Neodiprion lecontei: one gene and its partner. The protein of the gene in region 1 interacts with the protein of each later gene in a pairwise test. Links are inferred from orthologs where the notes say so. Each region holds a gene or a part of one and is shown on either strand. Other genes may lie near its edges. The genes, in order: axin and glycogen synthase kinase-3 beta.

Region 1 (6,612 bases):
ATCAGTGATGTAGGTAAATTCTTTCCTTTCATTTCACTGTTTAAATATTTGTCCAATCAGGGACGAAATTCCAAGACGGATATGATTTTTGGATATTGGACGTGTTCGGAATTGTTTGTCAGCACGTTGTTGATGTTGGATAACTGGGTTGTTGACGCTCGATTGTCAATAGTTGAGTCATTATTAACCACTTGAACTTAACTGCCAAGGCTTCATAGATACGTCAAGCGTGTCCGTGCTGCAACTGCCAAAAATCGCAAAATGGCGTCTCAAAGTAATTCAATCTTTTTGGGTAAGTCAGGTGAATTTTGACAACATATGTTTCACGTATTTTTGACATCTAGGAATCCGATTACGACTATCGGAGATTATATCTTCCGCGTATTCATAGAGATTCGATTCCTCGAAGTTAAAGAATTTTTGATCATCTCATCATTTTCTAGCATTTTATTTAAACACTTAGTAATACTATTTTTGAGTTCAAACTTGTGAATGTTTGATAACGCAATACCGATCTTTGATAGTCGATCGTTTATTCGTAAGTATTGAAACATAATTGTAGTTAGGTATTAATCCCGGGAGTTTGTCCAATTCTGGTACATCTAACGTTCGGCAGCTCCTCGTTGAACTGTAAATTGCATTGGAATTTGTTTTCCCGTATGGGTAATCGCTTCTTCTTCGCAATATATATTTCCAAAAACAGAAGTTTTCCCAAATTTTTTAGTACTTCATGCCATTTTCTGCGACCCCTCTGGGAGGGAATGAAATTATAATCAACTGACTAAATATAACGTATCCGGTTGTACTTTTTTTTTTTTTATTTCAATTTTTTTCTCGGTAAATAGGTCCTTTTAAGACCAAAGATTGGATAGGTTAGCTTTTTTGGCTCACCCCAGTATGTATGCATGTATATATGTATGTACGTGTGACAAGTTTTTTCTAACAATTATCACGTTTCACAACGCAAAGCGCATATTTCCCAGAGTAGAATCGAGTGCTATATTATTCTGCATGCCTACCATATTTAATATACACGTGCGTAAAAAATGTGTGTAATAACATCCAGCAATCAGATAGTACATTATAGTTTAGGCAAGGCATAATTATTGTGTGACGTATAAAGATTTTGTTTGTATTCGACACAAACTTCACTGTAAATAGTAAGGCGCGAGACAATTCCGAGAAAATCGAACGAGGAAAATTTGTGCGTACTCGTATACGTTGTACTTTTCAAATTAACGGTAAACTTAATTATCGCCAGCTCTGTATGGAATCTCGTTACCGACAATTTTTTTTTCTTCTCTTCATGTTTTCACTCTCCACGCAATTCTAAAAACAGACGTATTACGATATTGCAAGTTATTAATATTTTATAATTAATTTTCATCGAAAATAATCAGTTTGTTATTTTTATAATTTCTCTCCCGATTGTAAAATGTCGGACCTTGTCGAGGCCTCCGTCTACAATTCGTAGTGATAATTGCCGATTATAACGGTGAAGTGAGAGCCCAATTTGACCTGAAAAAGGTTGCGAACACAGAATTTCCTCTTGGTGGTGGGGGAACAAAGGACGTCGCATCCAGGTATGCGTTCAGGTACCTTTGGGAAAAGTTGGAAATTATATGAAAATATGCAATGCTTTATTCTTGTTGAATGTAAATATTTTCGAATATTAAGTGTATGGCGAAATATTACTATTCGACAATGGAGGATAACCTGAAACTGAAAATAAATTTTTTTACGAGGAGATTGAATATGAAAGAAGCATACACGAGAACTTTCGCAAGTCGATATTTACATTTTATTAATATTAATTTTTTTTTACATCGCAGCTTATTTTTCATCATTTAATGTCTCACCTATGGAGTCTTGCGCAAATTGGGATAATTCAAGTCGTCGTAGAAACATGCGAAATCATCCCGGTATCTGGTGTAAATATGTAACGAATGCAGAAATTAGCTCCCATTTAGTGCTGTCAGCAATCTTTTATCTCTTTGGCGCCGCAGTTCGCGAGGAGCTTTGCCTCTGTCCTAAGAAGTTTTCACCGTTGCCATCTAATTTCGAATTCTTTAAAAGAATTGACATTAAACAAGAACAACGTATTGCATTCTGATTGGTTGATTAAACTTTGCAAACCAATGAGAACGCTTGCCTGGTAGGAAGTGTGAAATCACATTATCTTGACCCTGAGCGGCAGCTCGCAAAGATCGTTGAATTGGCGGCTAAAAATTTTAACGCGGTTCGGCTATACCTGGAAAAGTCCTTCTACAGTTCTCATTGTCCCTTCTGCAGATGCAAGTATTTTTATTAAGTACCTTGAGACAGCTGCAGCTGCACAATGATGGTCACTAGAGGTGTGCGGGTACTGAAATTTTTCGGGTCGTGTACCTGAGAATCTCGAGTTCCTCAAGAATGTTGGGTTTTCCGAAAATTTTGCTCGTATCTATTTTCGCTTCTCCAAAAATATCGGGATTTCTAAAGTGAACGGAGATTTTCGAAGATTTCGGATTACCCGAAGTTTTCAAATTACCCGATGTTTTTAGATTACCCGAAGATTTCCGGTTTGCCAAAAAACCCGACCCGAACCCGACTTCGAGTACCCGAAATTTCGATTACCTTTCATTTTAATCTTTTGATCACCTCGTGCTCAGCACAGAAACTTATTAAAGTCTCGGACGTTACAGTAAGGCGAGACATGATTACCATGCACCATTTTTGAACTGATTTTACTTTTTCCTTCCTAACATTTCTCTCTTTATATCTTTCAGAAAAAAAATTATTACGCAGCCCTCGAGACTCGAATAAAACGAACGTGGCTCGAAGACTTAATTGCCAAGCTTGGAATCGAAATAAGGTGTTTCAAATGAGGCGAGGCTACGTCTATAAAATAAGGTAAACGAGTCTTATTATTTTTTTAAGGTATCGAATTTGACGATTCGAAAGCATAAATACCATGATTATTTTTCTCATCACGCGACCTATGATGTTTAACAATATTCAGGCAAGTAAATTATGCCAAATTTATATGCCCATAATTTCGATTTTTATCGTTATTCATTTTTCATTCTCCGTGCATATTTTCTTCTAACGTTTTGATGAAAGTCTTGTACTTTCAGCAAAGCCCAAATTTTTGTCTTTCACAGGACATCCACCTGTGTAATCGGTTCTTTGAACAGTGATAATCGTTCCAGTTTTCTTATTCAAAACATGCGACATATGCATCACAGCCCTTTTTCCGCTGCAGGGATCTTCCTCCGTTATTTTTGTGTTGTATTGCTTAACGTCTGGTGATATCTCTGGAAATTACATCAACGTTTATTATCTAAACCGAATACTTATATTACTCTGCACGAACTTCACTCGTCAGTCTTGCACCTGTAGAATTACTGGACTTTGTCAACAAGCCAGTAACTCGGATCCGATTAGTTAGCAACTATAACACATGGACACGAAATTTATTACATCACCTTTTTCCACCGTTTCCATAAGTGGTCGTGATGTTATTTTCGATGTATCCAGGGTAGTGTCGTGAGGTATTCCAAAACTCTTTCCTTTGGAAACGGTTGATAGAGACGTCATATTCATCACTAAAGAACGGTATTTGTTCAAATTTACTCTTCGAGTGATTTAATTAGCGAAACGTACCGCAAAGTTACACTAACAATTATACAACAAGGCTTGACTTACGATAGTCCTCCATGTCCACTTCCAATTCGTCCTCGTTTACGTCGCAGGCGGACATTTTGGCTGTAAATTGAAGAGTGAAGGGAAAACTCCTGGGATTAAACCGCACCGAAAAAGTTAAATAAAAAAATATCTTCCCTTTTTTGGGGGGTGATCGTGACGGCTGTAACGGAAATCATTGTTCATGGTTTCGATGCTTCTAAACGCGGGTTTAGAGTTCGAAAAGAGAAATGCAAGGTTATAACCAATGCCGAACGAACCACCAGCTACAATGCAATTCCAGTCAACTAAATTACGGTATATCATTGAAATTTTAATAGTCAATTTCCGACACATCACATTCGCCACTTTCTGATACGATCATCCTCAAAGTTCCATAATCAATTGCAATGCAATTCCGTCCCTTTAATTTACCGTGCTTTTTTCCCTGACTTCCACATCCGGATCTCTTCATTCTTGGTTTTAATGTCTTGGTGATTTTTTTTTTTTTCTTTTTGTTTATTCAACCTGGGTTAATAATCTCAAGACTGGAAAATATTTACATCAATTTCGAATTTGGTTAGTTTAGAATTTGGAGACAAAAATTTGTTTCATCGATACCAAGCTGTTAACACGACATCTGTTTTCAGATCATCTTTGTTTTTTTTACCATTGCTACTCAGTTTCTATATACATTTGTATTTTCGATTTCGTCCTAATCCTCTAATCAAGCAACCAAATCAGTAATTATATCGTGATAGAAACTCATTAGTTTTTTATACACAACATACGGATGGAATTGGTGATATAATGAACAAAGAAGGATATACGTAAATGGACAAATTCATGCGATTTATTATTATCGTGAAACGTTCCTTGTCACAGAGACGTTCTACTGTTGATAATTGAATTGTTTTTTTTTTTTTCTATCAACGTTTTACAATTTTCAATAAAACCCGTTTCCGTTGTCGTCGTCCATATTAAGCCATCTCCTAGCAATGTCGATTCTGTGCCTTGTTCCATTCGGCTTTTCATCAATTTTACGATCCAATTGCATAATTTGACACCCCTCGTTGTCCCTGACATCACTGGTGTGTCTCAATCTTCGTCCGAATTTCAAGCACTCTTCGAACGTTACGTTGAACATTTTAGACCCGTCAGGCATTTCTAAACAATTTATTTTCATCATTTTCATGCTTCATCCGTTTCAAACAACATTCGAATTCCGAGTAAAACATTAATTACCAAAGGCTTCTGCTCTGGTTGTTCTTTGATTCCTTTTCGGTGTACTTGTATACATTTTGTAATCATCTATTGAATCGGAAAAACATTTTTCATTAGTTCTCGAAGCAGAAAAAAATTTCTACCACTACGAATTTTTACAGAAATTTCAACACTTCGTATTATATCTTAAAAAAAAATTGTAAACATGCATAATTTTTCTTAAAGAATTATTAATTTTCGTTAAAAATCGTAACAGCTTGTAGAGTTTTTTTTTGAAACAATAGATAGTTTCATGAAAATCTACAAGCTTTTACAAGTACGACAATAATTTTTTGCACAATGTCGTACGAAATGACCCGATTTTCCGGAAAAATTTCGTAGAAAATTGTAGCAATCATTTTCACCGGGGTAGTTTGATGGCTTACCGCTATTTTCTGCTCTTCCGTAGGTGCTACCCGGAAGATGATAACCTTCCGCCATGCTGTTTGGTCGGTTTCTCTCAGCTCTGTTTTCGACTGAAACAAAGCAATTATGTAATTCTATACGATCTTACGTAATCGGAGTCGGGTGTTAAACACGTTTGCTGGATTCTTATTCTAGCCTAAAGTATTAGGCCTGACACTCGAAACCGAGAATCTCGTCGCAGAGTCAGGGCATTTTATTCCTTGGCTTGAAAAAATTCCGATTACGATAAAGTTAATTTTAGTTTACTTGGTAAAAATTAGTAAAAAGAATACCGCAGAGCTGCATAATTACTCACGATACGACATTATGTCTGATTCGTAATCCTGTGTAGAATCGTGCATGTAGTCAGCCTCCATGCAGGAAAAATCCTCTGGGAATTGATAAATAGTTGCTCTAATTGCACCGGTAACAAATCTTACTTTTTTTTTTTTTTTTAAGCTAAACAATAAGAATATACTTACTTATTGAACTTAACGGAGTCCAATCGGCACCCGACGTATCTGTGGAGAAGAATAATAAATTTGATTGTTTGTTTCTTTGCCGAAAAGTTGCAGCTTTAGCCATTTCACGCAAACATTTTTCCTTACATGCGATTCGCTTGAAATTTAGTATACCTGCGTGGACTTTTGGGGGCGCTGATCACGAGTCTAAACTCGAAATTTGAATGTTCAAAATAACGGATCCAATATGGCGGACGTAAATTCAAAAGGTTAGTTGATTTTGACGAAAATTTATGTTTCGTGGTTTTTCGGGTCACTCATTACGAGTTTGAACGCGAATTTCGGAAATTCAAAATGGCGGATCCAATATGGAGAACGTAAATTCGAAAGGTTAGTTGATTTTGATAAAACTTTATGTTTCGTAGTTTTGGGGTGACTCATTACGAATCTGAACTCGAATTTCGGAAATTCAAAATGGCCGACCCAATATGGCGCACAAATAAAAACAACAAGAAAAATGTTGAAAAAATTCTGTAAAATTTTTTCGCGTGTATTAAGCTTGTGTAAAAATTGGCAATCGGATTTTCATGGCAGATTAATTGAAAATGCTTTTCTTTCATCGAAAAGTAGAAATTTCGACCATTTTTACAATAAACAAATAAATAAATTTGATATTTTTTTTTTAGAGTTCGAAATATTTCAGGGACCATGCGAAACGAAAAAACTTGGCAGTTGTTTGCAGAAAAGTAGTTCGATAAATAAAAAGCTACAAAAAGAAAAGGTTAATAGGTTAAAGGGTTAAACAATTCACAGTTCATTA
Region 2 (6,491 bases), on another chromosome or scaffold:
ACGTTACTAACTTGAATCTCATGAAATTTTGTTGCTGTAAAGTTGCGCAGAGTATACCTTATACGATGCAGCCGTGTAACTTTGGTGTAGTTATTAACCTCTAGACGGCCGGCAACGCCACAATAGTGGTGTTGCCATGATTCGAACATATCCGGGGAACATTGGGGGATCATTATATAGAAGTATCTCACCAAAGTAGGCATGTATCAACGAAAAAAAATCCCGGTCGCAAACAGGTTAATACAGGCAGGCAGTGTGTAGAAGTTGTTGTTCAAATTGTCCGAAACGCGTCTTTGGCGTCAATTACAAATTCCATTGTATACGCGAATAAAGCGAGCTCCATTTAATACTTCGTACAGTTGAGAAGAAATAAACACGCTGACCAATTAAAACCTCCAGAGTCTAATGACGATAATGGAATTCTCCGAGCACCACTCGCTAGACCATAACAGCGACAACGTCGTCATCTTCCCGATCAATTACGCTGCACGGTGCGCTCTGTAGATGCTGCCTCTTCATAACTTGCAAGATATTATGTTCATCAAGCATTTTACTCGCGTCTCAATTCCTATTCATTATGCGTGCCTTGTGTATAATCTCGTGTCTGAAACTCGCGGTTACGCCCTCGAGCATATCCGCCGAATCCTGCCTGCATCTATCCACGCGTCGTTTTCTCATTACATATACATATATATTAGAATATGTATGTATGTATGAATTATATATATATATATATAGGGAAAAACTGATGCAAGCATTGGAAATTGATTGGATATACTGGGGGTATAATGTAATAAGATAAGAATCAGGTGGGTTTCAATAATTCATTTTTTGTTCGTAAATATATATAATAGTGTGCGATTTTTCTCACGGTTAGCAAGTAAAAACTTTTTGGCGAGAGACGCGCCTTTCAAGTTTTTTCCACGCGCGGTCGTTAGCAGCGGATAATATGCCTGCGTACTGTAAATTTGGCATGTTAGATATAGTCGTGACGTGTGTACGTGCATGTTGTAAATTTTTTTTTCAAAGAATTGGAAAAAATCTATCACACAATACGCGATTCTGATTCCCGCCTTGCGGGATCCGAGAAGCGAGTTGTCGGGTACAACAGGCGTGCAATTATAGACACACACACGCATTCGTATACACGTACGTAATGCGGTCATTCGCGTTTTCTGCAAATTTCCTGCGCGGACTTTGCGTCGATCTTTGTTTCTTTGTCTCACCCCCGGATCGTACCGCAATCGTTGTTATTGCCAAGTGCGATTGTGTGTATGTGCGATTCTGCGAACGATTCTACGTACGTACGCGAATATACATAGTATGTGTATGCGGTATGGAAATGATGACGTATAAGGTGCCTTGTGTGCCTCGTGACGTAGGCGAAATATCGACGGTTGCCGACGATTTTCTCCATCCTTGCCAATTTCGTTGCGACGCGCTGCTTTCCCTATCCCCCGTGTATTTATAAATATAGAGAGCGACGTTTGCAGATATTTAACGATATATTGATTGTTATTATTAACTATCTTATTATTGTATTAACTGTAATCTGTGCTGTTGAATTATTAATTACACGAAGAGAGAAAGAGGGAGAGAGGGACCAGGAATTTAATTCATACATTCTCGCAAATTTCAAGACAATTTAATATATTTGTAATCCTTTTGATTTGAAAATTTTGTTTCTTTGTACGTATGGCATATAACGCAGTTTAAGTGCTGGGGAAAAATATTTCTCATATTACGTATATTTCGTATATTTCGTATATTTCGTCTGATCCACGGTCTCGTATTACAGGTTTTGTAATTTTTTGTTTTTCCATTCGTCGGCGACTCTTAATAGAAATTATACCGCAAGTAAAAATGAAATCATTATTACCCCAAAACCCTCCAAGAATCTGACCACTATCCACATGATAAAAAAAAACAAGGCTCTGTTTACACACTTCCCATTTTTGCTACACTTGATTATCGAATGTTTTTTCAACAAACTTTTCAACAATATTTACTATAGAATTGGATAGAAGAAAAAACAAAGCTGCTTGTGTTCGGTGAAACAAAGATTTTACCGACAGAGAGAATTTCCCTCCCAATTATTACGCACATACAGCTATGCCAATGCCACGTCGTGTTATTTGGAATTTTTCGAATCGCATGGTTTGTGCCTATTTTTATCTATGTACAATCATCGTACATGTACGCGGTATAGTAAACGTACGTTTAACACGAGTCGGTCTATTCTCCCCACTCGGTTCGGAAACGCCTCTCTTTCTCTCTGTTTCTCTCTCCTAAGCCAACCTCTTCCCTCATCGTCAGTCGCTATATCATCAGATCGGTGAACAGACGGCCGCGTACAGGTCGCCCCCAGAACTGACCTAAAAATGTGAACAGTTATTCAACCCGGCGACGACAGTTTCTTACTTTACTGCCTTTAAATCTGTGTATATTGCTCGGGGTATCGACCGTTCTCGCTGGTTTTTTTCTCACTTTTAGAAACATTCCCTCATTAATCTCCGCGCGATTAATCACTGACATGTGAACAAACGATGACAAAAGAAATTGGTGAAAAATTTGTGTTTTTCTTCAACCGCGAACCGCGTCGCTCGCATCATATTTGCAATGCGAAGGAAACATACGCGCTTAACATATTTTCGCTTATATTTTAATGATGAAATAATTTCACGCAACTGTATATAGGTATAGTTCGTATGTGAAGATTTGAAAAAGAAACGAAGAGTTGAGAGGATAAAAAGAAAGGAAGAATGGCGATAAGATTCTGTGTCCGTGAATGCTGTGTGCGTCGTTATCACGAGTAACATTCAAACGTGAAATGTAAAGTATCGCATTTCTTCTTCACAAGTGGATAATGTAATTTTAATCATCATTATTGTAATTTTCCGTTTTTATACATTACTCGTTTAAATGCCGTGACGTATGTAACTGAATCGTTCGTTCAGTGCCTGACTACAGTGTATTCCCGGACATCCATCGCGCTGTGCAGCGGTAGAAACAGGGATTTGCGTTACTGGTGAATTATTTATCGATCCCGGCTTCGCGCTACAGCGTTGAATAAAATTAATATATTGTTTGGATTTGGATATCGTATCGAGAGTGGTGTCGCATGTGTTATTAAACCTCGTCTCGCCTTCCAGTGCTCATCGTCGTCGTCGTCGTCGTGTCCAATAATAGCGTCGCAAGTGCACGGACCAAGTGTGTGAAATTAGAATAGCATATACAAATATGCGAAATCGAACGACTATTAACGCGGAGACTGTAATAAATGATAATATACTAAACTGATAAAAATCAACACTCCGGTATCGAAGGTGGAAAAATTATCACATCTAGTGTATTTGATTATAATATTTGGTCTTCTCTCTTTACATACGCGATTTAATCCAGCGGCGCCACGGCTCGTTTTTATTGCTGATATATTATACGGCAAATAAATATTTGAGCGTGTTTTACACGTAGTACGTTTTTTTTTGTTTTCAAATGAAACATCTCGAAAGTGGTGGAAACGTAAAAAGGAGAGAAGAAAAATCTTTATTTGCACCAACTGATATCGCTCATATTCTGCGTGCAGACCGCTAAAAATAGAGCCGACTCGCTGACAAAATATTTACCGCGAACAAACAATATTCGTCAAATGTTCACGGGGAAGTAAATTGAACTGTTGATGTATAACGGAGACGAAAAAAAAAATATACATACATTATAAAATAAAATCTTATACAGCCTCTTATACATCACTCACGTGTTGTTGCGTATAAACCATAGAGTGACGAGAAGTGGAAATCTTATTGATAAACTAAAACGGCGAATAATCAAATTTCAACAACTAATCCATAATTCAATATCTACTCGAGGTGAAGAATATTATTCAACTCTTTTCTCTCCGTAATACTATTCTTGCTTTTTAAAATCCTATAAAAATGTTCGTCAGTCTCGAAATATTGTGTTTACACATGTATAATAATTCGTGGTGGTTCCAGTGATATCACTCGGATATAAACGAAGATTTTACAGGCTTACGACGGTTAAGCCAAGACTTTGAGTCCGTAAGATTTAAGGATCGATTTGCATTTTTCTTTTTAAATTCGTGAATGAAATTCACCGTGTGTGTGTATACATATTTGTAACACGTGTAACCAAACCAGTTTATAACGAAGCGGAAATAGGAATATTGGCAAAATACCGTATAACCTTCCTTAAAACGTGAAATAATCCAGTACACTGAACGATATACTTGTACAAAGTTGTTAAAAAAAAAAATAAAACAAACAAATAAATGGCGCCCGCGAACACGTTGAATTGGTCAGAACCGCGCCAGGAATGGCGTTATCCAAAATTCTGTCTGTCGGGTCAAAGGGGCGATAAACCAGCGTCGAAAAGCACGTTGGAAGTCAACGAAAAGGAGGCCGACAGTGCCTACAAGAAGATTTGCAAATTTTTACGAAATCTCGGTGTTAAAAAACGTAAGTTTTTTTTTTCACGCTCTATATATAATGCGCTATAACGCGGGTGATCTTTTTCATCCATGAATAAATTATTATCATACTAGTTCGTGGAGTTGTTTCGAAGAAGATTATAAAATGAGAAAGAAATTCCGACGGAGCTTTGACCCTCGCTCGTGAATGTGAGTGAAACAAGCAAAATGGAGATTTGTTGTTGTCTGCTTTTGAAATATTTCGGTACATCTAGACGTGCCATTAATACATCAAACCACGTGTTCGCATCGCGTGCTTGATATATTTGTCTGTATTTTTGTCTCGCGAATACGAATTTTTATTGTGACGGATAAATTTTAAACCGATTATTGTGTATTATTGTAGACAAATAGTCATGGATGCGTATGAAATGAACAACTTGCACAGAGATGACAAGATGTCGTTACTCCAATATCGTTAATTGCTGCTTAATTTGCTAAAAAGTGCTCTCGTAACTCGCAAATGAATTCTTAACAAATTACGAATGTTGTGGATAATTTTTCATACGGTTGATCAAAGTTTTTTTTTTTTTTATCAAATCCCGAGTCTACACAATTATCGTGATGATTTCTATAACGGTCAAGTTAGAAAAACAAACTGCCAGCGCAAAGTGATCTGCTTAAAACTAGTCGACAAGCTTCCACGTTTACCCAAGTCAAAAATTATTGCTTTCATAAAAGTCAAAAGCCGAGAGCTACTTCGGTTGTAATTTTCTCCCCCTTTTTTTATGTTCTAAAGCTTACGTTTGACTTAAGGCTAGGTGAATCTTTGTGAAACGTAGCTGTTTGTCGTTGAAGTAGGTGTACTGTTCGAACTATATGCTTATAAATATACGCGTTGGCAAGCGAGACGTTTGCTTAACTTCAGCTCCTCGTACGATCTGAATATTCATTTGGTTTTATGCATTAATTTATTGTGCCGCGCCGTTCCTACGCAATAAGTACCCGCGAGTATTGTAACAACGTTACGTATACACCACGTATGTACCTAGATGCGAATCGTGATAGGTTTTTGCTATTAGAAGCAGGGCGAAACCGCATAACTCTCAGCAGGTGTTCGCTCGGATTACGTACATAGGAGAAAATAGCTCATCTACATACATATATATGTAATACATATAAGTATATATGTATCGTACAGCGGTTACGCGTGACAAATATGGCGGCTTCATTTATCGAGCATAATTAACCATTTCAATATCGTATGCTATGCTATTTACATGCTTATGCCGTGCATGATGTTTACGTGCAAGAGTTGTAAAATTTGTTGAAAACTCGTGTAACACAGGTAATAAGAAATAACTCTTTATACTTCTCTCTCTCCCTCTCTTTCTCTCTCCACCCCTCAAGGTTGGAATGAGCTACGCCAATTTGGCAGTGGCTACATTTTCTTGACCTCTTTTCTCTTTGTAAATTCAAATTTAGGTCAGAACGTAATTGTAATTGAGAACAGTCCTCTTGTATACGCCCACAATATGAATGAAAAAAAACCTGATCCTTTTAGAAAGGTCTCTGTACAGGTTTCAACCGATTGACAATGATTTCAAGTATCATTTTCATTATAATGAAGGATACAACCGAAGTCCTTGAAAATATCATGCGAATATCAATTGACTTTTGATGTAATCGTACTAAAAATTCACGGCAGAAGATACTGCAACACTTACGCTGTATTGATCGGCGTAAAAATGATTTTATTACCTTATTCTAAGTATCGGCACATCTCGTGTTTATTGTAGGCTAACGGTAAAGAAAATATTCGATCGCAATTTCGCTCTTTTGGCAGAAAAAGTTACCATTCGATCGTCCGTTTTTCCTTTTTACCGTGCTGTGTTTTTTTTTTTTTTGTCTTTTTTGCGAGCTGCATCGACCAAGATACTGCCATTCAACTGTCAAAGTGACAGGATGGAGCGAAAATGAATTTAGGCCAGTAAAAAAATCATTGAAAAATAATCATAAATAAATACAAAAAATAGAAATAAAATACACGGCAGGAAACCTT

Evidence for each region.
Region 2: the proteins of axin (region 1) and glycogen synthase kinase-3 beta interact in a two-hybrid assay, tested with the Drosophila melanogaster proteins (2 studies listed by BioGRID, with this or other methods). The link is inferred for Neodiprion lecontei from reciprocal best matches to the Drosophila melanogaster genes Axn and sgg.

What each region holds. Positions count from the first base shown.
Region 1 is NC_060261.1:3,713,983-3,720,594, reverse strand, and holds the start of axin, read left to right. Parts: upstream 1-2,779; 5' UTR 2,780-2,892; intron 2,893-4,530; exon of another isoform or gene 4,531-4,609; coding exon of another isoform or gene 4,610-4,830; intron 4,831-4,908; coding exon of another isoform or gene 4,909-4,974; intron 4,975-5,312; coding exon of another isoform or gene 5,313-5,402; intron 5,403-5,647; coding exon of another isoform or gene 5,648-5,708; exon of another isoform or gene 5,709-5,722; intron 5,723-5,813; exon of another isoform or gene 5,814-5,852; intron 5,853-6,612. Other genes in the region: uncharacterized protein LOC124292941, read right to left, coding at 4,610-4,830, 4,909-4,974, 5,313-5,402, 5,648-5,708.
Region 2 is NC_060265.1:25,391,779-25,398,269, forward strand, and holds the start of glycogen synthase kinase-3 beta, read left to right. Parts: upstream 1-2,317; 5' UTR 2,318-4,291; coding exon 4,292-4,478; intron 4,479-6,491.